Canis lupus familiaris: one gene and its partners. The protein of the gene in region 1 binds, or shares a complex with, the protein of each later gene. Links are inferred from orthologs where the notes say so. Each region holds a gene or a part of one and is shown on either strand. Other genes may lie near its edges. The genes, in order: RANBP2, NUP93, NUP85, NUP188, NUP205, CETN3 and XPO1.

Region 1 (3,500 bases):
AAAAGTGGAACTTGTAACAGGAGAAGAAGATGAAAAAGTTCTTTATTCACAGCGGGTAAAATTATTTAGATTTGATGCTGAGATAAGTCAGTGGAAAGAAAGGGGCCTGGGAAACTTAAAAATTCTCAAGAATGAAGTAAATGGCAAACTGCGAATGCTAATGCGAAGAGAACAGGTACTAAAAGTGTGTGCTAATCATTGGATAACAACTACCATGAACCTGAAGCCTCTCTCTGGCTCTGACAGAGCATGGATGTGGTTAGCGAGTGATTTTTCTGATGGTGATGCCAAACTAGAGCAGTTGGCAGCAAAATTTAAAACACCAGAGCTGGCTGAAGAATTCAAACAGAAATTTGAGGAATGCCAGAGACTTCTATTAGATATACCACTTCAGACTCCTCATAAACTTGTAGATACTGGCAGAGCTGCCAAGTTAATCCAGAGAGCAGAAGAAATGAAGAGTGGATTAAAAGATTTCAAAACGTTTTTGACAAATGATCAAACAAAAGTCACTGATGGAGAGAGTGAGAGCTCTGATGCAGGTTCTGCCAATGCCTCCGATACAATCAGCAAGCCAAATCCCGAAAACACAGGGCCCACACTGGAGTGGGACAACTATGATTTAAGGGAAGATGCTTTGGATGATAGTGTGAGTAGTAGCTCAGTGCATGCTTCTCCATTGGCAAGTAGCCCCGTGAGGAAAAATCTCTTCCGCTTTGGTGAGTCAACAACAGGATTTAACTTTAGTTTTAAATCTGCTTTGAGTCCATCTAAGTCTCCTGCCAAGTTAAATCAGAGTGGTACCTCAGTTGGCACTGATGAAGAATCTGATGTTACTCAAGAAGAAGAGAGAGATGGACAGTATTTTGAACCTGTTGTACCTTTGCCTGATCTAGTGGAAGTGTCCAGTGGTGAGGAAAATGAACAAGTTGTTTTTAGTCACAGAGCAAAACTCTATAGGTATGATAAAGATGTTGGTCAGTGGAAAGAAAGAGGCATTGGTGATATAAAGATTTTACAGAATTATGATAACAAGCAAGTTCGCATCGTGATGAGAAGGGACCAGGTGTTAAAACTTTGTGCCAATCACAGAATAACTCCAGACATGACTTTGCAAAATATGAAAGGGACAGAACGAGTGTGGGTGTGGACTGCCTGTGATTTTGCAGATGGGGAAAGAAAAGTAGAACATTTAGCTGTCCGCTTTAAACTACAGGATGTTGCAGACTCATTTAAGAAAATATTTGATGAAGCAAAAATAGCACAAGAAAAAGATTCTTTGATAACACCTCATGTTTCTCGTTCAACCACTCCCAGAGAGTCTCCATGTGGCAAAATTGCTGTAGCTGTATTAGAAGAAACCACAAGAGAGCGGACAGATTTAACTCAGGATGATAACACAGCAGACGCAACTTCAGAAGTTGGAGAAGTATCTAGCACATCTGAAGCAACAACAAAAGCAGTGGTTTCTCCTCCGAAGTTTGTATTTGGTTCAGAGTCTGTTAAAAGTATTTTCAGTAGTGAAAAATCAAAACCATTTGCGTTTGGTCACAGTTCAGCCACTGGGTCTTTGTTTGGATTTAGTTTTAATGCACCTTTGAAAAATAACAGCAGTGAAGTCAGTTCAGTGGTCAAGAGTGGGTCTGAAAGAAGAGTGGAACCTAATGGTGAAGAGTCGAAGAATTCAGATAGCAAACAGTCTTCAGACGGCAAAGTCAGAAATCTCTTTGCTTTTCCAAAGGAGGAGTCCTCAACTAATTACACATTTAAAACACCAGAAAAGGGTAAGCACTTAGTCTTTAATGTGAGCAAATTTTTCTTCCATTGATTTGTAACTATTTTGCTTAACGCATATACTCTTTGTAGAGTACTAATGTTTTAGTAAAAGTTGGGTCATAAACACAGTGCTTCATGAACAGTGAAAATACTGGTATAGATTTTTTTTTTCTCCCTAAATGTGTTTCCCTGTGACTGTTTAAATAGCAACAAAGAGTGGGTGTGTGTAGGTCATTTAGGAGATCTGAGTAACTGGAAGATATTTATATCATGTTTAGTGCAGAGAGCAAGAACCTAATATAGTACCAAAGTTTAGTGACTCGTACTTAAATCACAAACATTAACTCAAGTCTCATTTTTTTTAAGTGTTCATTCTTCAATGTAGTATTCTCTTGTCACTCAAAAAACGTGGTACTGAGATGTACATATAATATATATAAGGTAGTCTTACCACTATTTATTAAATGATCAAAGAATGAAACTACCAGGATAAATGAATATGTGAGACAGCCAAATTGGTATAAATTGAGGGTCTCTGGCTTTTTGTATTTTAAAATCACATTCACTTTGATTCTCAAAATGTTCAAAAACAAAATACTCTTTATTTTCTAGGATTTAATTTTAGCCTTTTTAAATCTAATCCAATGGCTTTTTGGACCAGCATCCCTTCCTCACAGCCTGAAAACAAAGGTATAGAGCTAGTATTCTCAGTATGAGATGACTTTTTTTTTTTTTTTAAAGGAGCTGGTAGTCCTTTGCAAAATAACTGGCTGTATGAAATTAAGGACTTAACACTACAATGTGCATGTTAAAAGAATGTCTGTTTAAACAAGTACTTTTTGACTGGTGGTGTATGATACCCTTTAATACTGTTTTTGTTTTTTTAATGTACTCAGATATCATGTTTTCTCACTCCTGTACAACAATATTTTGAGATAGATCCATGTGGTCTTTACCTTTTGCTGCTTTGTACTTTGTTACTGTATTATTTTCGACTCTGCTTAATGAAGACCTGTGTTTTTCTAACATTTATCTTTAGCCAAAGGTAATGTTTGTGAGCATGTATACACATGGAACAGTTTCCCTTTTAGTTATCCTTTTGGACAGGGTTTAGAAAAATAATATTTGAAAGTAGACCCCGTTTTTAATAGCGACCATTATATACCTGGTATGTTACAAAAGTCAATGTTGGTATTAGAGAGGAATAATAGGAAGTGGGGGGGGGGGTCTATTGAAGACCTTCAGGAGCAAGGGTAGGGAAATGTAAACTGTTTATTAGTATCTAATAACATATCTTGAGCAGCCCAACTATGTTCAGTGATAAAATGACAATCCTTGATTTTGGGGCCCATCATTTTTAAAGTATACCAATCATAATACTAGCTAACACAGCTCTTAACCTTCATTCTTAAGAATGTATTCCTTGAGAAATTATGTGAAAGTGTGGACTTCTTCCTGTAAATGACATATACTTGCATGCATACTATGGGACCCTGGGTTAAGAATCCCTGGCCCAGGCACCTGGGTGGCTCAGTTGGTTAAGCGTCTGCCTTCAGCTCAGGTCATGTTCCTAGGGTCCTGGGATCCAGCCTTGCGTTGGCTCCCTGCTCAGCAGAGAGCCTGCTTCTTCCTCTCTGCTGCTCCTCCTGCTTCTGCTCTCTCTCTCTCTTTCTCTGTCAAATAAATACAATCCTAAAAAAAAAATGTATCCCTGGCCTAAGAGC
Region 2 (3,500 bases), on another chromosome or scaffold:
TCACCACTTAGAAAGAGTCACATTTGGGGATTTTCTACAGTTTTAATTTCTGAGGGAGACGGTGAGAACAGGATTTTCTCTCTTCCTTTGGAAAAAGTAAACCTGCTTTTCTCCAATCAGTGCTATCTCCCAAGGATTCTTAACTTTAGAATATTGCAAAGTGTTCAGGGGATCCATTTTTAAGGGGGAGATTTACAGCTAGAAGGATTCTGGGGAGAGTGAGTCCCATCTGTGTGGTGGTAACACGAAGGAGAGAATGCCTGTTCTTTTCCTGGGAGGCTGTCATGGAGGCGTCTTTTAAAGGGAATGAGTGGGAAGGAAAATGGGAGGTTGCGACACTCACAAAATGGGGTAAGAGCAGTGGCCCTTGGAGAATCTTTGGGAGGACAAAACCTTTATTATTTAGGTTAAACTCTTTATTTTAAGCCTTAAGAAACTCACATGACCTTGTAAGGATTGAAATGCAGCTACTTGAGTTTAAACTCCTAGAGCTTTGGACAATTATAAATGTATTCACTTTCTCATAAGGGATAACCCACTGAGATTCAGTGTTTCTTTTACTATTCTGTGGTCTTAATTATGTGGGTGGTTATGTCAGACCTGGAACAGTAATTGATCTGAAAACCAGCTTGGGGCAGGAGGGTGCTCATCAGCAACTGGCAGGGCAGAGGTGCATCTTCTGTACTGAGCTTAAGCCTGAAGGCCTTAGACAGAAGACATTAAACTTCTTCCTCTACCTTACCTTCTCTGCCTTTGAGATCAGAGCTACGAAGAGCCAGACCATTTCTCTAGCCCTGCAGCATTGTCACGCACAGTCTCATTTATGTGCAGAACATCTCTGACATGTGGACCATGGTAAAACAAATGACAGATGTGTTGTTGGTACCAGCGACTGATGCCCTGAAGAGCCGCAGCAGCGTGGAAGTGCGCATGGAGTTTGTCAGGCAGGCCTTGGCATACCTCGAGCAGAGGTAAGGCAGCCCTGGCACAGTGGGGCTGGCTTCAGAATCCCTAGAAGTCAGCTGTTTCTCAAGTGTTCAGTAGTTCTGTGTCTAAGTGCTCCATAGTACAGGGTTGAGTAAGGCTGAGAGATCCCATCCTGTTTTCAGAAACATTTCTTTACTAGGACTGTTTCTGCAACAATAAAAAATCATGGCAAGTGGGAGCACTGTTAGACTTTTCATTTTCTCTTTCTCCTCTCTCTGTCCCTTAGTATGGAGACATCATAATTATTAGGCCATTGCCTTAGGTCACGATCCGGTTTCCTAGTGAGGTTTAGGCATGAGTCCTTAGGCTTTGTCTTCTTTCAGCATTTTAATCTTTACATCTGGCAATATTACCATTTTCAAGCCTTAGGAAGAGTCCTTGACCCTTTATTTTCCTTCTGGCTCTATTCCATTAATCCCTATGTGTCTGGATCCTTCCCAGCTGCTAATGCCTGTAGTTGGTGCTGGGAGGCTTTGCCACCTCCTCCCTAACTGGAGTTCGGTCACTGAGGGGGTTGTTGTGCCCTTGTGTCCTAACTATTGTCCCCTTCGTTGGTAGGACCTGTGCCATTCATTCCTCCCTGTAGACATTCCTTCTAGCTCTGAATTTGCCAGCAGGAGTTGTCCCAAATGTTCAACAGACTCTTTATTTCAGAGGCAGGGTGCTGGGCTCCCGTCTGCTAGGTGGAAAAGAGAAAGCAGAGTTGAATACACTTGTTCAATTACACCTCTTTCCAATGAGCCCATGTGGCTGCTAGTGCCCATGTAGTGTGGTTGCCCTTTATCAACATAATAATACTGTGTTAGAAAGTTAGAAAATTCATAAGATTTCCTTGTGAATTAACTGAGGTAATTTAGACTCTGTACCTCAGAGAATAGGTACTTTTATACTGAATACTGTAATAATTATACAATCATTATACATGAGATGAACACCATCAGACATAATCTCACTAGCCTACATTCCCTGGTTAAGAAAAATCTAGAACTCCAAATTTTTTTTGTCTTTATTCTTTTTTTGCATAGGCACAAAAAAGTTCATAAAATATTTTATTAGACTTTTGCTAAATTTTTGTAATGTTAAGTTTTGGGTATATTGATCTGCAGCCATAAAGATCCTAACGTATATTGTAGTATTGCTACACGCAGCAAAAGAGTCAAAATTTTTTTACAATATATAAAAACCTTTAAGTATGACTGCTCATGACTGTTTTTTCTTTAGTAAACCTACTCTTTAACATTGGTGCTTGACTTCACCAGTGGTACTAAGCATTCCTTAGTTTTATATCTGGTAAGCCATTCCATGTCTTTTATTATTCTTTTCATTTCACTTATTTATTTGTCTTAAAAAAAATTTTCCCCCTTAATTCCTTTGGCAGCACTTAGAGCTACTTGGGAGTTTCCTGTCCATATTTATTGTAACTTTATTGTCCTTTCATTCTAGTGGTGTCACTCCCTGGTGGCATGCTTTTTAAGAATTGTCATCTTTTGATGAAGGGATTATTTCAGGATAATTATACTCACCTTTTTTCTTTTTTCTTTTTTTTTTTTAAGAAGAGATTGTTGGCGGGGGAATGGGGTCAGAGGGAGAAGGAGAGAGAGTCCCAAGCAGGCTTCACACTCAGTGCAGAGTGTGGAGCCTGATGCAGAGCTTGATCCCACAACCCTGAGATCATGACCTAAGCCAAAACCAAGAGTCAGATGCTTAACTGACTGAGTCACCCAACACCCCAATTGTACTCACTCTTAAAGTATTTTTGCCGATGCAGATCCATAGACAACATAGTAGAGTAAACAGAGACGTAAATGCTTTTTGCATATAAAGCTGAAAATACAGGGTTGGTTGATCTGTTCCCTGCTACATTTCAGATTCAAAACAGGATACATATTTTTTAAGTCCTGAAGGGATTCCAGCTGCTTCTTCAATTTAGGCCTGAGCACACGAGTTGTCTTAATTCAAGCTGAAAGAGACTGTAGTGGGCATGTTTGTCCTGGCTGCTATGGGACTCAGTTCTCTAATCTCTTTTCCAACCTCTGCTTTTAAATACTCTCACTGATGGGGGACTTACTATATTTGTTAATTGAATTTTGTTTATTTTTCACTACAAAAATACTACATGCTCATTATAGAAATGTGGGGGAAATGCCAAAAGACCTGACAAAAAGGGAAGAGGTCTCCTGTACCACATCCAGAGGCTCCTGTACCTTTTCAATTTCCTTTTCCCCTGTTTTTGATATATGAATATTTTTTTGTTTTTTACAGTTATGATCCAAATGTGTACAGTACGTGGTTTTTGTAGTTTGCTTTTTAAATTCTTTGTCAGTATCATTTATGTAACATTCCATTGAGTCTATTTTTTTGTAATTGACTTTTAGATGTTTCTTTCTCTCTCACACTCTCTCATTCTGTTATTTTATTTAATCTGGTGTCGACTATCTTTGTGCATATGGGGCACCTGACTTTTTTGAGTCATCCTGTTTTGCTTTGGATAAGAAACATATTTAGAAAGTTAT
Region 3 (3,500 bases), on another chromosome or scaffold:
AACAACAGTAAAATACATAAGCCAGTGAGTTGAGGAGTAAAAGTCTGAGAGTAAACATTCATATTTAAGCAATTTACATGTAAATAATTGATAAATGATAATCATACTTTTTTGGGGGATAGAGGCGGGAGTGTGAGTGGGGCGTGGGGAACAGAGGGAGAAGGAAGAGAATCTTAGGCTCCATACTCAGCATAGAGGCCAATGTAGGGCTCAGTCTCACAACCCTCAGATCATGACCTGAGCCAAAGTCAAGAGTTAATTGCTTAACTGACTGATCTACCCAGACACCCCAATTTATACTTTAAAAATGAAATCAACAGCAAAGAAGCTGAAGCTTTTGTAATTAGATAACTCATTTTAAAATTTAAAGTGAGTTTTTGTATGAGGGTTATAATGATTGATACTAAAATTTTCCTGTTTCAGAAAAATCAGAGACCGAACCAGGCTGCCCCTTTATCTATATCATTCGAAAGGATATAGATGTTTACTCTCAGATCTTGAGAAAACTCTTCAATGAATCCCATGGAATCTTTGTGGGCCTCCAGAGAATTGAAGAAGAATTGACTGGAAAATCCAGAAAAGCACAGTAAGTAGGCTGCTAATGGGTGTTGAAGTCCAAAACTAAATTGTGAAAGCCAAATGAAATGTGTTGTCTTCTTTCTTTCTTTTCTTTCTTTCTTTTCTTTCTTTTCTTTCTTTTCTTTCTTTCTTTCTTTCTTTCTTTCTTTCTTTCTTTCTTTCTTTCTTTCTTTCTTTCTAGAAAGAGCAAGTACACGGTGGGGAGAGGGTGCAGAAGGGAAGGGAAAAGCGCTCTCCCTTGAGCAGGGAGCCCAAGGCAATGTGGCAGGGCTCGATTTCAAGACCCTGGGACCCTGACCTGTGTTGAAGGTAGCCGCTTAGCCACCTGAGCCACCCAGGTGCCCCTGGAGCTTTTTTATTTTTTAATTAATCAATTAATTAATTAATTCATTCATTCATTCGAGACACAGGCAGAGGGAGAAGCAGGCTCCCCGCAAGAGTGGGACTTGATCCCAGACCCTGGGATCACGCCCTGAGCTGAAGGCAGATACCCAACTGCTGAGCCACCCAGGCATCCCTAAAGATTACATCTTGATAACTAAACCAGTTGCTTTCTTGTGAATGTTTTAGTTTTGTCATTTTCTTTTTCCTTTTTTTTTTTTTTTAAATTTTATTTATTTATGATAGTCACAGAGAGAGACAGAGGCAGAGAATAGGCAGAGGGAGAAGCAGGCTCCTCGCAGGGAGCCCGATGTGGGACTTGATCCTGGATCCCAGGATCACGACCTGAGCCAAAGGCAGGCGCCCAACTGCTGAGCCACCCAGGCGTCCCTCATTTTCTTTTTTAAAGACCTTATTTTGAACTAATTTTGGACTTACAGAAAAGGTAACAAAAATAATAGATTCCTGTGCATCTCTCACCCAGTTTTCTAATTTTTTTTTTTTTTAATTTTTATTTATTTATGATAGTCACAGAGAGAGAGAGAGGCGCAGAGACACAGGCAGAGGGAGAAGCAGGCTCCATGCACCGGGAGCCCGACGTGGGATTCGATCCCGGGTCTCCAGGATCACGCCCCGGGCCAAAGACAGGCGCCAGACCGCTGCGCCACCCAGGGATCCCTCTCACCCAGTTTTCTAACGTTAATATCTACATAGCCATATTATTGTTACTTGAACTAGGAAAATTACACATCAGTGTAAAGTGATTAAAGACTTCATTTGGATTTCCTTTTTTTTTTTTTTTTTTTTTAAGATTTTATTTATTCATGAGATAGAAAGGCAGAAACATAGGCAGAGGGAGAAGCAGGCTTCCTATGGGGAGCCTGATGCAGGACTTGATCTTAGGACCCCGGGATCATGACCTGAGCCAAGGCAGACACTCAACCACTGAGCCACCCAGGTGCTCCTTCATTTGAATTTCACCAGTTATTTCACAAATGCCCTTTTTTCTTTTCTGCATCTCAGGTTGCATTTGGTTTTTATCCCTTAGTCTCTTTCATGACCTTGACACTTTTGAAAAATATCAACCAGTTATTTTGGTGACTGTCCCTCCATTTGGGTTTCTCCAGTGTTTTCTCATGATTGGACAAAGGTGGTGCATTTTTAGTAAGAATACCACAGAACTGGTATGTGTCTTCAGTACATCATGTCATGGGATTCATGATGTTGATGTCTTATACTGGTTTTGTGGACCTTGATTACTTCAGTGGTTTCTACTTGGTTTCTCCACTATGAAGTTACCATCCTTCCCTTTGTGACTAGTAAGTATTTGGAGAAGAAATTTTGAGATTATGCAAATTGTATTTCTCCATGGGCAGCCCCGGTGGCTCTGTGGTTTAGCGCCACCTTCAGCTCAGGGTGTGATCCTGGAGACCCGGGATCGAGTCCCACGTCGGTCTCCCTGCATGGAGTCTGCTTCTCCCTCTGCCTGTGTCTCTGCCTCTCTCTCTTTCTCTCTCTCTCTCTCTCTGAGAGACAGAGAAAAAAAAATAAAAAAAAAAATTTTATTTGAACCACTAGTTTCACTAGTGTCCATCAGTGGATATCATCTTTTTTTTTTTTTTTAAAGATTTTATTTATTCATGAGAGACACCAAGAGAGAGGCAGAGACACAGGCAGAGGGAGAAGCAGGCTCCCTGTGGGGAGCCCCATGTGGGACTTGATCCTGGGTCTCCAGACCACACTCTGGGCTGAAGGCAGGTGCCAAACCTCTGAGCCACCCAGGGATTCCCCCAACAATTAATATGAATTCATGGATATTTATTTTATTGTATGGGTTGTCTCATGTGTTACTCATTTTGATGCTCAAGTTGTTAAAACTTTGGCTGTTAGAAACTCCTTCAGGTTGGTTCCTGTCTTTGAGCAAGCTCCTATCTTCTATTGAGAACTTCCTTCCTTTTTGTCACCACAAGATGCTCCAGGCTCATCTTGTGTGTCATTTCCTTTTTTGTAGATTGGTTCGAGTGAGTAAGAACTACCGCTCAGTCATAAGAGCATGTATGGAGGAAATGCACCAGGTTGCAAGTAAGGATTTTATGTGTGTACATGTGAGAGTAATTGAAATGTTTGGTTATAAATACCGCAAGAGAAAATGTATTTGACTTCACAGTTTAAAACTCTTAACTTTCCTATATAATCCATAATTTTTTGGCAGTTATCTTAAGTACATTTTAAAAAAATATTTTATTTATTTATTTGAGAGAGAGAGCATGAGAACATGAGGGGTAGAGGCAGAGAGAGAAGCAGGCTCCCTGCTAAGCAGGGAGCTCGATGTGGGACTCAATCCCAGGACCGTGAGATGACCTGAGACAAGGGCAGATGCTCAACCCACTGAGCCACTCAGACAGCCCTCTTAATAAGCACATTTTTCAAGTTAGAACATACTGAGTCGAGCAGCCCGGGTGGCTCAGTAGTTTAGCGCCACCTTCAGCCCAGGGCCTGACCCTGGAGACCAGGGATCAAGTCCCATGTCGGGCTCCCTG
Region 4 (3,500 bases), on another chromosome or scaffold:
GTGGTTACATTTTGAAATTTAGTTCTAGACTTTAGAAAACCCCATAAGGTGTTTCCTGAAGTTCCAAAGGCATGGATGAGGGAAGGAACTTGGGTAAGCACATGGTGAAGGGTATATTTAAAGAGTTTACCAGGAATAGTGACAATAATGTGTTGTTTTTAATATAGTGTCTTGCACTGTATGTGGTACCTAGTGCTAATTAATAAGTGAACGAATATTGCATTTAGAAAATTTTCTGAAGGTACCTGGCTAGCTCAGTCAGTAGAGTGTTTGACTCTTGGTCTTGGGGTCATGAGTTTGAGCCCCGTGTTGGGTAGAGAGATTACTTAAGTAAATCTTAAAAAAAAGAAAATTGGGGCACTTGAGTGGCTCAGTGGGTTAAGTGCCTTCGGCCCAGGTCATGATCTCAGGGTCCTGGAATCGAGCCCCACAATGGGCTCCCTGCTTAGTGGGGAGTCTGCTTCTCTTCCCTCTGCAGCTCCCCTAGCTTGTGTGTTATCTCTCTGTCAAATAAAATCTTAAAACAAAACAAAAAAAAAAAAAAAAAAGAAAGATAAAATTTCTGGAGTTGATGAGGGGGCTTGAAATATACATAGTCCTTTTCTGTATTCTCCTTTTTGGTCACTACATTTTAATGAGAAGGGAGGAGATAGAAATACTACCCTGAGGTGGCTTCTTAGCATAGAAGATGTAAGATAATTCACTAATTATTGTAGTTCATTAATTCTCAAATATACATTTCTTTATACTGCTATGTATTTTATTATCGATGGCTGGTAGAACATAAATAATCATGTATCCTGCAATTAATTGTATCTTAAATGCATTAAAGTATGGTGGCAATCCTCTTTTTTTTTTTTAAAGACTTTATTTATTCATAGAGACAGAGAGAGAGGCAGAGACACAGGCAGAGAGAGAAGCAGGCACCATGCAGAGAGCCTGACATGGGACTCGATCCAGGGTCTCCAGGATCACGCCCTGGGCTGCAGGCGGTGCTAAACCACTGCGCCACTGGGGCTGCCCGCAATCCTCATTTTTAACACATCTGCTTGGTTTAGGTTATGTGTCAGCTTCTTAATTTTTATTTTGAACATCAAACTTTTAAGAACAATGTAATGGGATTAATGTCCAGAGTTTTAATAAATTGTTTTGTACATTGAGTTTCCTGGTTTCAGAGAATAGATGAAATACTGCGAGACAGCTTGGTCAAATTTGTATAATCTGAAAGTGCAAAATTCCCATTATTTTTCAGGAGCAGCCGGGAACTATGGACAATTCTGCTTGGAAGGTCAGCTCTGAGAGAACTGGTAAGTGGGTGGTGTTCTTGAGTGGATTCTGTAGTTTTTATGTAGCTTGTGTTACAATAAGCTCCCAAAACTGCCTTGTCTTTGATGGAAGAAGTAAATGCATTTTTTTATTCCTAAAACTTTATAAACATGATGTATTCCCTGTTTCTCTGTGCTGAACCATGTTGTATCTTCTAGCCCAGCTGCTAAGGTTTCTAAACCACTTCTCTTTGTTCTTTGGTGATTCCTTATCTGAAAAGATACCAGTGCTGTTCAACTAGCTGCTCAGGGTTGAGGGACAAATACCATTTTGCTCCCTCAGGCTAAGGAAAATGCTCAGGCCTTTTCTCTGTCTTGGACTTTACTTGCCTTTTCTTTTTTTTAACATGTTGCTAGCTCCTTAGGTCACAGAGGCTGTGCTTTCTAGGACATTTCCAAGTATAGTAAAGGACAGTTCATAATGTTGATCCTTAGTGTTTTAACCGACCCTGTGAGGGTAAAGTGTTAAGATGATGTTCAATTATTGCTATTATTATTATGGTAATTAACATAATGTTATACCTTTTTTCAGAGCTTTAATTTTTTTTTTTTTAAGATTTTATTTATGGGCAGCCCCGGTGGCTCAGCGGTTTAGCGTCTGCCTGCAGCCCAGGGCATGATCCTGGAGACCTGGGACTGAGTCCCACGTTGGGCTACCTGCATGGAGCCTGCTTCTCTCTCTGCCTGTGTCTGTGCCTCTCTCTCTCTCTGTGTCTCTCATGAATAAATAAATAAAATCTTTAAAAAAAAAAAAAAGCCACTCAGGCATCCCTAGAGCCTTTTTTTTTTTTTTTTTTTTTTAGGTAGGCTACATGGCCAGTAGGCTACATGGGGCTTGAACTCATGACCTTGAAATCAAGAGTCTCATGCTCTACCATCTGACCTATCCAAGATCCACTATAAAGTCTTCACATCTTTTATATGCTTTCGTCTGATAACTCTACTTCTAGGAATATGTCTTACAAGAAAGAAATCCTGAAAAAGTTTTGTGCACAAAGCTCTTTACCATAGTATTTTTAAAATTTATTTTTTATTTATTTGAGAGAAAGAGAAAGCATGAGCAGGGGGAGGGGCAGAGGGAGAAGCAGGCTCCCTGTTGAGCAGGGAGCCCTATATGGGGCTCCATCCCAGAACCCTGGGATCATGACCTGAGCCGAAGGCAGACACCCAACTGATGGAACCACCCAGGTGCCCTTACATAGTGTTATTTATATTAATAAGGAGTCACCGCTTAAGTTTATCTAACAATAGAGGTATGGTAAATAAATTATTATCCAGCCACTTGATAAAATATTATGCAACCACTAGAAAGAGTATTTATCAAGATTTTCATAATCAGGTTAAATCATCGTTAGAATGTTAAGGAAGGAAAAGAGGCTACAGAATTCTTTTTTTTTTTTAAGATTTTATTTATTTATTAGAGAGAGCATGAACGGGATGAGGGGAGAAGTGTGAGGGAGAAGCAGACTCCCCACTGAGCAGGGAGCCCGACGTGGGGCTTGACCCCAGGATCCTGAGATATGACCTGAGCCAAAGTCAGATGCTCAACCAACTGAGCCACTCAGGTGCCCTGAGAATTCTCTTTTCAAAATGATTTCAGCTGTGGGGAAAAGCATATTAAAAAAGACTTAGGATTATGTAAACCCTTATATAATTTCTTTGTTCTTTTCCAGAATCAGATCGAGGCAGAACTGAATAAACATTGGCAGCGGCTCTTAGAAGGGCTGTCCTACTATAAACCACCCAGGTATGGCTATTCCATGCGTCTGGTTAGAGTAATTCCCCTGAGGAAGCTGGGGTAGTGAAACTGTTGTTGTGTATGATTTTGTGATACTGCTGGGTCAGGTAGATTATAGAGAATACAGTTTGGTTACCAGTGGAAGAGAGTTGGGCACATTTTTTCTGTCTGTTGAAAGGAAGGGAAATTCCTTTTAGAAATATAGTGTTGTTGAATCTAGTTATATAACTCTAGTATTTGGGGAGGGGGAGTCATTAACTTTTCAATTAATAGTTCTAGTGTTTATTTTGGTCCACTGTGTTTGTGTACAGTGCTGTTGGCACCAGGTGCTAGGCTAGGGCAGTGAGCAGTGATAAGAGTAGCTGACCACTTACAGAGTGTTTACTGTGTATCAGTTACTATTCTGAGTATCATAGGCCTCATAAAAGCCCACTAAG
Region 5 (3,494 bases), on another chromosome or scaffold:
TCATGTCCCAATATGTCCCTTTTATACAGTTTTGCTGTGTGAGAATCAGTAAACAGTTCCCGCATTTAAAGATTTTCTTAAAGGTCACCACCACTCAAGTTCCCACTGTGACTTCATTAAGGATACAAGAACAGAGGGAAAGCAGTTTGGCTCGATTATTGATCAACTTCACCAAACGCCGTCTTGCTAGAACATATTTCTGGGCAGTAGAGATTTTCTCAACACCAACAGGCATCACAGACTGACACAACTGAGAATCAGAAACAAACGCAGGATTAGCGATTACATAAACTAACAGAAACTTCATGAAGAGAGGGTCACTTATGACAGGCCCTGCAAAAAAACAAAGAAGTTTAAACATTCCTGCAGATGAGAGTTATCATCTGGTTAGGAAGCTGGTAACTTTATAAAACCGAGAGCCAAAGTAGTGGAATTCACAAATGAAGACTCCTCTGCCGATTTCTGCAAAAGGTCTTATCTCTGTAACAGATGTTTCCAATCTGCTGAGGGGCCGACCAACCCTGAATCTCTTGTCAAACTAAAACAAAATTCAACAGTAGGTTTTTCAGGCCGTGGGTCTAACAACGCCATGGAGATTTTCTGTAACAGCTGTCATGTATCTTCTGAAGAAAATGTAAAAGCCGATTTCTACAGCATTAACTAAAATAGGCTCATCAACCAGAACCTCCTTTCATCACACCTCTGTTTGGCATAAGCACTGCGGTCCGATTCAAAATTCAGCTGCTGGGTTGGACAGAAGGCAAACTGAAGTGGGGCTGGGAGGGCACCGCACACTTGCCAGGAAGGCTGCCGTTTCTCTGGCGAGTGCTGGTGTCACCCGTAAGCTACGCGTGTTGGGGAAGGGCTGCCAGATGTAAAGCCCCCCACTTCAGGGATTACTAGAACCTCATCAGTAACTCCCGCCTCAGGACCTGCTAGCTGTGTGGCTTTGGGTAAATTATTCAAACTTCCAGGGCCTCCACTTCCTCATCTGAGAAAATAGGAGTGGCTACACTATCTGCCTCATGTATTGCAACAGAACTTGTCTGGCACATCAGAAACACCCACCAACTGCTCCCTATGATTGCTGGAAGCAGGCAAGAGGGAGGAGGTTTTGACTACTCTGAAGAGTAATGCGGAGCTTTTCAGGACAGTTGGTGCAAAGGAGGAATGGCAAAATGGCTCCACATCTAGGCTGCCACGGGCCACCAGGGAGCTTCAGCACCGGCCAGGGTATGCCTTGTGTCATTCAGCTGTGCCGGATGGGAGAGAAAGTGGCTACTTAGGATGTAAGCCTAGCGACTCAGTATCTTTAGCTACAATATCGGTGAATGATTCTGGGTCACTGAGGGCAGGCAGTCAAGTCTTATATGCTATCCCATTTGTCTGAAAAATTCTCTAAACAGATACTGAAGATGCTGAAGACACAGAGACCTCTTACTTAAGGGATCACTTCTACTGAATAAGCATCTGCAACAGAAACCCAGGTTTCTCAGCACAGATTTCAGAGTATGAATTACCAAAACTCTACTTCAAAAGCCAGCTGCCGTTCTACTGAAGGGTAGCAGGTGGTGTTCCTGAACAGATGCACTTCACCATCTTCCATTCAAGTGTTGCCCTGATTACCAGGTGTGGTGCTACGGGGAGGACTCTTCTTCAAACCACACAGAGGCATCATTTCAAGCCCTTTTATCACTGCATACATCATCTTTACACACAAGTCGGACACCAATATTTTGGTCATTAGGAAAAGCAAGGATTCTCCAAAATCTCCATGGCTCATTATAAGATTCATACCTCTTTTATCTCATCTGGTGGAAGCTGCTCTACATTCTGTAGCTTGTTGACACTCCGTCGGTGACTGTCATAATAGCTGAAGAAATCATTAGCGCTCTGTTTCAGCAGGTAGACAATAATGCCCAAACCTGGCAGGCGCCAATATGGAATCACTGGAGCTTGGGTATCTAATAGAGTTGATAATAAAAACAGAATGTTCCACTTACAAGAATATTAAATGAATTTCAAATGACCTGTTTTAAAACAAGGGATGCCCAGAACTGAAGGGCATGTAAACTATTATTAAAACCAACCCACAACTACTTTTAAATACTTCTGACAGTTCAGAGGAGTGGTGAAGTGCCATGGTGATCTGGGACTCAAATCTAGGCAGTTCATCATCAGTCTCTGTTCTTAACTGCTAGCTTAAACTGCTTCTCTACAAATGAATATTCCTGAATCTACCACAAACCCACCCCCTCCTGTGTCTACGACTGGCAAAGGTTAAGTTTGCTGATTAAATCTTTAAAGAGTCTAAGGAAGAATAAAGACCAATATATATTAGGCTTCATAAAGTTCATCAAGTATTAAAGATCGGAGAATGGCCTAGTATGTGAAAGACAGGCTCAAAGTGAAAAGAAAGCAAGTGAAATTTTAATTGTTAGTGATGATTATTAATGTTTTTGAAGAATAAATGACAAAACTATAATTTCATTTGAAAATGTTATGATCAGGCTCAACTTAACTTGTTTTAAAATGTTAGATTCGGGGCAGCCCCAGTGGCTCAGCGCTTTAGCGCTGCCTTCAGCCCAGGGCATGATCCTGGAGACCCGGGATCAACTCCCATATCAGGCTCCTGGCATGGAGCCTGCTTCTCCCTCTGCCTGTGTCTCTGCCTCTCTCTCTCTGTCTCTCATGAATAAATAAATAAAATCTTAAAAAAAAAAAAAAAAAGATTCAAGGGGGAAGAACGGAGCCCCTTGGACACTTTATAATGGAGTTGCACAGAGTTGTTAGTTCCTGGCACCATTTACATGAAACAGTGGTTAGATACTGTTAAACTAATATACTTTAATAACACCATCCTACTAAATCTTTTATGTGATTAAGCAATTTTCAGGGAAAATAAGATCTTGAAGATGAAAATGTGACAAAATGATTTGCAGAAAAATCACAGAGCAAGCACCACTAACATCCGAATAGACTGTCTTCTGAGGGTCCCATGGGATAACAGCTTTCATCAACCCACAACCCTCACATTCCAGATCTCACCTACTGGGTCCTTAGGAAATCACAGACTATGTCAGTTTACTTAGCATCCACACTTTACTTTGCTGTGATACAGAAATTTGGAGCTATACTACGAGACCCAATTCAGACACTACCTTCAGCTTAACATGATCTTACGCATAAACCGTCTGTTATGTTTGTACATTTTTCACCCAGCTAGTTTACTTGCCCATCTTAGATACTTTCTTTGGGGTCTCAAATACTATTCAAACCCAAAGCTCTTTGAAATTTATCCTTAGAAAATCTTGAATTTCTCTGTCCTCTTGAGCTCTCTAACCTATCCACAGGACTGACACCAGTACCTCCTTACTGATCTTTCTTAAAGTCATTGACAAATTTTCCCACTAATTACACATAAAGAAAAGAGCTGCATTTCACTGGAGCCATCTAGAGCTTATTTTAATCACAGCAACTTAATCCTCAATTAC
Region 6 (3,500 bases), on another chromosome or scaffold:
GGGCCTAGAATTATTTATAAAGATGTGAGGGAAAATTAAAGTTTAGGGTAGTACAGATCTCACACTCAGCATGAGAAAGGCGACATTTTGGTAGCTCCATTTTTTTTTTTTTTTTTAATTTTATTTATTTTTTCATGAGAGACACAGAGAGAGAGAGACAGGCACAGGGAGAGAAGCAGGCTCCATGCAGGGAGCCCGACTGAGACTCGATCCCAGGTTCTCAGGATCACGCCCTGGGCTGAAGATGGTGCTAAACTGCTGAGACACCCGGGCTGCCCTGTCTCTTCCATTTGTTACCATTGTTATTATCTTGGTTTGGGATCTTACTTCATACCTGGATCTTCTTAAATGTTTTCTCCATTTCTGGTTTGCTCTGTATACTACCATTAGATTCACCTTTCTAAGACTCTTTCCTCCTATTATTCATTGTTCGTAAACCTTTAGTGGCTCCTCATTGTACACTGCATAAAGTTCAGATTCCTTTTATTTTTATTGAATACTCCCCACACTTTTACTACTACCTACTTTTCTCATTGCTAAGGACTTGTTTCCACCTGAGCTCTTCCGGTTCAGGTATGGTAAGCTGCTCTGTTCACTGTCCTTAAGCCTATATATTATGGTATCTGTTTTAATGCCAGTCATCCTTTTCTCAGTGCTCTTCTACTTTATTTCATCCATATATCAGGGAACAAATGGAACCTTTCCGAGTAAGATTTCTTTAATCAGTATCCTGTCTCTCCTTTTTGTTAATAGTAACAAGATCTTTTCTTTCTTTAAACTCAGGGCCTGGACTATTTACTTAATAACTAATCATGTAGAGTCTCATGATAACTCTTACTTTAATTTTTTTATCTCTTCTGTTGTATACATTTTTAATATTTATGCTATACTTTTTTTCATTTTGGTAATCATTTGAGAACAAATAATTTGTTAAAATGATTTGTACAGTAAGTCAGTCTTGTATGGTGTATTTTATAAACATTTGATTGGTTTGTCATATAAAAAAGGATATGTAAATGAAAAAGTTGCTATTTCAGTAGTGGAGAAAAGCTATCACTTTGATTTTTTAAGAGACATAAAACTTGCAAAAGATTTAAATGTTTTATTAATGTGCTGACATCTCTTAAGTTGTAAAAACTTATTTAAGAATTGGAAGTCACTTCTTTTGAAAGAGTGCTTTATAATTTGCTTTTCCCTTTTAATCCAAAAGGTGGCAATGAGAGCCTTGGGGTTTGATGTAAAAAAAGCTGATGTACTGAAGATTCTTAAAGATTATGACAGAGAAGCCACAGGGAAAATCACCTTTGAAGATTTTAATGAAGTTGGTGTGTATTTTAATAGTCTTTGTAATTAGCACTTGTTAGGAAATTATCTGGTTAATATTAGTTTTTTTTTAATTCTCTGGGTTATGGAATTTTGTTATTGAACATTGCTGTATAATGTAGATATTATTATAGGGATTTGGGGGCACTCTTCTTACTTATTTTCAAAGAAAAAAATAAGATTTACAGCTTCACTATGGGATTTATCATTTTGTCTTTTGTTCTGAAGATTCTAATTAAGGAACTATTATGTAGCTTTTTGTGGAATGATGTCTTCCTAAGTTTATATCATGTGATAAAACTAAAAAGGTGATCAAAAAATTATTTTCTTAGACTAAAACAGAAAATTTGGTATCCTTTTGTTTGGAAAATATTTCCTAAGACCATTCTGGTGTGTGATTTTTGTTGGCAGAGTGGGAGAAGAGAAAACCTATAGCATTTGGTATCTTTGGCTGAAGATGAAGTGCATGCCTTCAGGTTGACAAAGCTTATAAGGGGCTGCATATTCTGTATGACTTGATCTCAGTGAATAAAGTCATCTGTTTAAAGTTGAGAATGGGGAGAGGATTGTAATAAAGGCATTTGGCAAACTCAAGCAGGAGAAAACATTTTAGAATAACCAACTAAGCATAATGTGTCATGAGCTTAATATGATTGAATTTTTATATAGTTGATTTTAGTGAATTAGTTATAGCATATATCAAGCTTTTTTAGAATAGAAGATTCTGGAAAGCAAGGCCTTTGTTATTATGATTTAAATATATTGCATAGAATATTATACATAGAATGTGCATCTATTCAGAGTTTAATTTTCTAAAGCAGTAATACTTAATATGGGTCATGATATAAGCATATAGTTATTTTAAGATATTTTAAAAATTTAGAAACAAATCCAGTTACAAACCTTTTGTGTAAATATTCAGCATGAATATTGTACTGCATGAAGCAGTACAGAAAGCAAAAACAAATGGGAGTTTGGAAAAGATAGATTCATATCATTAAATCATTGGTTTTATTTTTTTAATTTGAAAACTCAAAACCAAGGTGAGGAAGAGGAAAATTAAAGGATAAACCTAAAAGAGAAAGGAAGAACAACACAGAATATCCCCACTTTATAAATTAAGAAATAACTGTTTAGAAAGGCAGCTCATCTCTTGGGGAGCATATTGTTGTTATTGTTGTTGTTTTTCCTAATCTGTAGACTTATTTACTTGAGAAGGGGGAGGGAACCATCTTTATTCTTTTAGTCTTTCATTATTGAAGTTCTTCTACAGTTAGTGATCTTAGTCCAAGTTCCAACTTAGATTGTTAATTTATAGAAACAGGTATTAGGATATAGTGGCAATGATACTATTAGGAAAGAGCTACAGTTCAGGCACATTTGATACAATGTAGTGGTTTATCATGGACATTTTAGAACCAAATTGCCTGGGTTCAGATATTGGTTTTTGTATGACTTGGTCATTTTTCTTGTCTCTGACTCATTTGCAGCTATATATAGTGGGATAGTTGTAGTATCTTGTGATTTTTGGGAGGAATAAATAAGTTAATACATAAAATATGTCAAATGTTTATTAGAAGGGGTCCTAGCTATAATAGTAAGTACTATTTAGTATTTGTTATTATTACTTTAAAAAATTGTCTTTGTTTCACTTTGCTTTAGTACCCGGAAATAATTGTGTATGTATCCACTTGAACATAAAAAGTCTTGTATTCATGTTTTTCTGATTACATTTTTTTCATAGTTGCAGGCTATTTTAGGCATTGTATCATCGTCATTAATGATTTTATGCAACATATTATAACATCTTAAGTAAATACAGTTTTAAAATGTGATTTTATTAGCAGTTGAAGTCAGAGTCCCATGCCATCTTCACCCTTTCCTTACCCTTCATTTTTCTATGTTATTATTGGAGCCGCTGATACTGGGTTCTTTCCAGAATAAATGACCATGGCTAAACATCTGCTCTGACTTTGAAAGATAGAACTTTTGACCAACTTAGCACATACTTTAGCTATCTTAAAGGCTACCTATTGAAAATACCAGTAGTCAAATAAAAATTTATTACTGTTTAGAAATCAAACAGCCAAGAACTGTATATTTTCTCCATTTGTTAATTACTTTTCAATGATAACTGACCACAAATGAGTGTCTATTTTATACTTTGGAACAAGTAA
Region 7 (3,500 bases), about 27 Mb from region 1:
AGGGTGATGTACCCATTGAAATATATAGGTCCTTCGTTCTGGTCTTCTCCTGCCTCTAGCAACCACTAATTTGTTCCCTATGGATTTATCTATTCTGAACCTTTAATGTAAGTGAACTCCTAGTATATGGTGTATTGTAATTAGTGTTTTTCACCTAGTGTATTTTCAGGGTTCATTTGTGTTACAGCATGTACCAGTATTTCTTTTTTATAGCTGAATAACAGAACAATACATTGTATTGTATCCTAGTTTGTATACCCATTCATGAATCAATAGACATATAGATTGTTTAAACCTTTTGAGTATTTGTATCAAATGTCCCTTAATATCCATACGTTTTTAGGGAACTTTTAACATGTGTATTGACCAAAAAATATACAAAATTTTCGAAGTGTTGTAGAACATGTTTGAAGAAAGTACAACTTGCTCCTAGAGAATTTCTAGTCTATTAGATGAATAATGAAACCTCAGAATTGTGCAAAATGAAATATGAATTTTATTTTTATGTTTATTAACATAACAAATGGCAGGCAATTTGTGGGAAAAAATAATGTAAGGAAAAAAATAATGTAAGGAATTATTTTTAATATTTTCGGTGTTCTTTGTAGGCCCTTCATTATATGTTGTTGGTATCAGAAGTGGAGGAAACTGAAATCTTCAAGATTTGTCTTGAGTACTGGAATCACTTGGCAGCTGAACTTTATAGAGAGAGCCCGTTCTCTACATCTGCTTCTCCATTGCTATCCGGAAGTCAACATTTTGATGTTCCTCCCAGGAGGCAGCTATATTTGCCCGTGTTATCCAAGGTAACAATAAAGTGGGTGGTAAATGCTACTCCTATCTATTTCTTGCTGTAATTTTGAAGACTTACTGAAATAGTGGGTTTTATTTTATTTTGACTTTTATAATCTAAATAAAAGGTAGAAAAAGAGCATCCAACAACTTGACCATGTTTTCAAAGCTAGAAAATTGAGAAGGATTGTTTTAAGAACCATAGTGTTTTCGTAGAAGCAGATTGCATTCCAGTGAGTTTATTAGAAATGCAAATTAAAAGATCACCGACCGGCGTAATGAATCACTCTCAACAGGAAAGTTAATACTTTATGTTTTATTCGTGATAAACAATGCATGGAAATCATTGTTGTAGAATTACATTTTTTAAGATTTTATTATTTGAGAGAGAGGGAACAGACTCCCCGCTGAATAGAGAGCCCGATTTGGAGCTTGATCCAGGACACCTAGATCATGACCTGCACTAAAGGCAGACATGTAACAGAGTGAGCCATCCAGGTGCCCCTCAAATTACATTTCGTAATGTTTCTGTTCTGTATTGTGGGAACAGTTTTGGGGGTATGTTGGTCTAAAGTGTGAAGTGCTTATTTCAAAGATGTAATAGATTTTTCTTGTTTGGTTGAGCAGGTCCGTTTATTGATGGTTAGTCGTATGGCTAAACCTGAAGAAGTATTGGTTGTAGAAAATGATCAAGGAGAAGTTGTCAGAGAATTCATGAAGGATACAGATTCCATTAATTTGTATAAGAATATGAGAGAAACATTAGGTGAGTCAAGAAATCCTGCCGGTTTGATCTTTTTAATTCTCTTCTGGGGTGGAAATAACTAAGAAATGGCGCGTACTTTTCTGAATCTGTTAATAATCACTTTTATTGCTGTGCTATTTCTTATTAAATGTTTTTTGTTCATAGTTTAGAATTTGAACTTTTGGAACCTTTTCCCTTCTTTTGTAGTTTATCTTACTCATCTGGATTATGTAGATACAGAAAGAATAATGACTGAGAAGCTTCACAATCAAGTGAATGGTACAGAGTGGTCATGGAAAAATTTGAATACATTGTGTTGGGCAATAGGCTCCATTAGTGGAGCAATGCATGAAGAGGATGAAAAACGCTTTCTTGTTACTGTTATAAAGGTATGCAAGGGATACTACATGTGAACTGAGCTCTTGGGTAACTAAATTGTATTATTATAAATGACTGAAATTGCTCTCATTTTACAGGATCTTTTAGGATTATGTGAACAGAAAAGAGGCAAAGATAATAAAGCTATTATTGCATCAAATATCATGTACATAGTAGGTCAATATCCAAGATTTTTAAGAGCTCACTGGAAGTTTTTGAAGACTGTAGTTAACAAGTTGTTTGAATTCATGCATGGTAAATCCTTATTATTCAGCTATTTGTATTTATTGAACAAAAGAAACCCCAAATTTTCTTGAAATTTTTTGATAATATTTTTGTTTTGTTAGAGACCCATGATGGAGTCCAAGACATGGCTTGTGATACTTTTATTAAAATAGCTCAGAAATGCCGCAGGCATTTTGTTCAGGTTCAGGTTGGAGAAGTAATGCCATTTATTGATGAAATTTTGAACAATATCAACACTATAATTTGTGATCTTCAACCTCAGCAGGTACGTAGAGCACTGAGCATCGTAGTAGTATGCATATTCATAGACAATGAATACTACGGTGCCCATGTGGGTGGCTCAGTTGGTTGAGCATCCAACACTTCATTTTGGCCCAGGTCATGGTCTCAAGGGTTATGAGATCAGGCTTCACAGGGGTGGGGAACCTGCTTAAGATTCTCTTCCCCCCTTGACCCAGTCTCCACCCAAAGAAAAGAAAATGACTACTATTTTTTTTTTTCTTATTTAAAGGTCTGTTTATTAGAGTAAGAGTACATGGTGGGTGGGAGGGCTCAATCTCAGGACCATGAGACCATGACCCAAGCCAAAACCCAAGTGTTGAATGCTTAACTGACTGTGCCACCCAGGCACCTCATGACTAGTATTTTACTCAGAATTCATAAATGGCAATAGAGTAACACCATTGGATTCATTCAACATACATCTATGGTTAAATTTTTTTAAATTCCAGTATAGTTAACATACAGTATTATATTAGTTATGTGTGTACAATATAGTGATTCAGCAATTCCATGTATTACCCAGTGCACTACTTACTCCCTATCACCTATATCACCTATCTCCCCAACCCACATCTCTGCTGGAGTCATTAAGTTTTCATTGTAGGACAAAAATTTAGCCAGAAGTTTATTAGGCTATTTTCTTACCTAATGTAAGTTGTTTCTCAGACTCAAAAAAGAAGGTCTAATACATATGTAAGTTGGTTGTTTGTGGTTATCCTTATGATGCATAAACATAAAATGTCTGCCATTTTACATAGGTCCATACATTTTATGAAGCTGTGGGGTACATGATTGGTGCACAAACAGACCAAACAGTACAAGAACATTTGATAGAAAAATACATGCTACTCCCTAATCAGGTTTGGGATAGCATAATCCAGCAGGCAACCAAAGTAAGTTCTACTCCTTTTTATCAAAGTTCAAATGGAATTCAAGAAGATCGTGTTATTTTCAAAAGTAACAAAAACTATACTGTCATTTTTTTCTGATTTGATGGTATATTGGGAATGTTAATCTATTCATAGTTGTAGCTACAGGTAATAAAGATTTCTGTGTT

Evidence for each region.
Region 2: RANBP2 (region 1) and NUP93 share a complex: the UniProt entries of both Homo sapiens proteins name them as parts of the nuclear pore complex. The link is inferred for Canis lupus familiaris from reciprocal best matches to the Homo sapiens genes RANBP2 and NUP93.
Region 3: RANBP2 (region 1) and NUP85 share a complex: the UniProt entries of both Homo sapiens proteins name them as parts of the nuclear pore complex. The link is inferred for Canis lupus familiaris from reciprocal best matches to the Homo sapiens genes RANBP2 and NUP85.
Region 4: RANBP2 (region 1) and NUP188 share a complex: the UniProt entries of both Homo sapiens proteins name them as parts of the nuclear pore complex. The link is inferred for Canis lupus familiaris from reciprocal best matches to the Homo sapiens genes RANBP2 and NUP188.
Region 5: RANBP2 (region 1) and NUP205 share a complex: the UniProt entries of both Homo sapiens proteins name them as parts of the nuclear pore complex. The link is inferred for Canis lupus familiaris from reciprocal best matches to the Homo sapiens genes RANBP2 and NUP205.
Region 6: RANBP2 (region 1) and CETN3 share a complex: the UniProt entries of both Homo sapiens proteins name them as parts of the nuclear pore complex. The link is inferred for Canis lupus familiaris from reciprocal best matches to the Homo sapiens genes RANBP2 and CETN3.
Region 7: the proteins of RANBP2 (region 1) and XPO1 are in contact, whole or in part, in a cryo-EM structure (PDB 9B62), measured with the Homo sapiens proteins. The link is inferred for Canis lupus familiaris from reciprocal best matches to the Homo sapiens genes RANBP2 and XPO1. Residues at the interface, in NP_006258.3 of Homo sapiens: Val2508, Val2509, Ser2510, Pro2511, Pro2512, Lys2513, Phe2514, Val2515, Phe2516, Gly2841, Phe2842, Gly2843, Ser2845, Thr2846, Gly2847, Leu2848, Ser2849, Phe2850, Ala2851, Leu2853, Ala2854, Asn2857, Ser2858, Gly2859, Asp2860, Phe2861, Ala2862, Phe2863, Gly2864, Ser2865; in NP_003391.1 of Homo sapiens: Trp60, Val63, Asp64, Leu83, Asn97, Gln98, Gly101, Ile102, Lys104, Tyr105, Val107, Gly108, Ile110, Ile111, Leu134, Phe149, Asp152, Ile153, Gly155, Ala156, Ser157, Arg158, Thr159, Ser160, Glu161, Leu163, Cys164, Asn167, Leu208, Phe211.

The regions. Positions count from the first base shown.
Region 1 is NC_049231.1:36,161,712-36,165,211, reverse strand, and holds part of RANBP2 (E3 SUMO-protein ligase RanBP2), read left to right. Parts: coding exon 1-1,784; intron 1,785-2,388; coding exon 2,389-2,466; intron 2,467-3,500. UniProt on the Homo sapiens protein: E3 SUMO-protein ligase which facilitates SUMO1 and SUMO2 conjugation by UBE2I. Involved in transport factor (Ran-GTP, karyopherin)-mediated protein import via the F-G repeat-containing domain which acts as a docking site for substrates.
Region 2 is NC_049223.1:58,752,993-58,756,492, reverse strand, and holds part of NUP93 (nuclear pore complex protein Nup93), read left to right. Parts: intron 1-831; coding exon 832-971; intron 972-3,500. UniProt on the Homo sapiens protein: Plays a role in the nuclear pore complex (NPC) assembly and/or maintenance. May anchor nucleoporins, but not NUP153 and TPR, to the NPC. During renal development, regulates podocyte migration and proliferation through SMAD4 signaling.
Region 3 is NC_049230.1:6,154,619-6,158,118, reverse strand, and holds part of NUP85 (nuclear pore complex protein Nup85), read left to right. Parts: intron 1-423; coding exon 424-586; intron 587-2,971; coding exon 2,972-3,042; intron 3,043-3,500. UniProt on the Homo sapiens protein: Essential component of the nuclear pore complex (NPC) that seems to be required for NPC assembly and maintenance. As part of the NPC Nup107-160 subcomplex plays a role in RNA export and in tethering NUP96/Nup98 and NUP153 to the nucleus.
Region 4 is NC_049230.1:54,790,997-54,794,496, reverse strand, and holds part of NUP188 (nucleoporin NUP188), read left to right. Parts: intron 1-1,252; coding exon 1,253-1,307; intron 1,308-2,998; coding exon 2,999-3,072; intron 3,073-3,500. UniProt on the Homo sapiens protein: Component of the nuclear pore complex (NPC), a complex required for the trafficking across the nuclear envelope. Required for proper protein transport into the nucleus.
Region 5 is NC_049237.1:12,272,354-12,275,847, forward strand, and holds part of NUP205 (nuclear pore complex protein Nup205), read right to left. Parts: intron 1,965-3,494; coding exon 1,798-1,964; intron 251-1,797; coding exon 127-250; intron 1-126. UniProt on the Homo sapiens protein: Plays a role in the nuclear pore complex (NPC) assembly and/or maintenance. May anchor NUP62 and other nucleoporins, but not NUP153 and TPR, to the NPC.
Region 6 is NC_049224.1:18,666,156-18,669,655, forward strand, and holds part of CETN3 (centrin-3), read left to right. Parts: intron 1-1,210; coding exon 1,211-1,325; intron 1,326-3,500. UniProt on the Homo sapiens protein: Plays a fundamental role in microtubule-organizing center structure and function. As a component of the TREX-2 complex, involved in the export of mRNAs to the cytoplasm through the nuclear pores.
Region 7 is NC_049231.1:62,842,491-62,845,990, reverse strand, and holds part of XPO1 (exportin-1), read left to right. Parts: intron 1-608; coding exon 609-806; intron 807-1,419; coding exon 1,420-1,558; intron 1,559-1,744; coding exon 1,745-1,926; intron 1,927-2,013; coding exon 2,014-2,170; intron 2,171-2,262; coding exon 2,263-2,426; intron 2,427-3,201; coding exon 3,202-3,336; intron 3,337-3,500. UniProt on the Homo sapiens protein: Mediates the nuclear export of cellular proteins (cargos) bearing a leucine-rich nuclear export signal (NES) and of RNAs.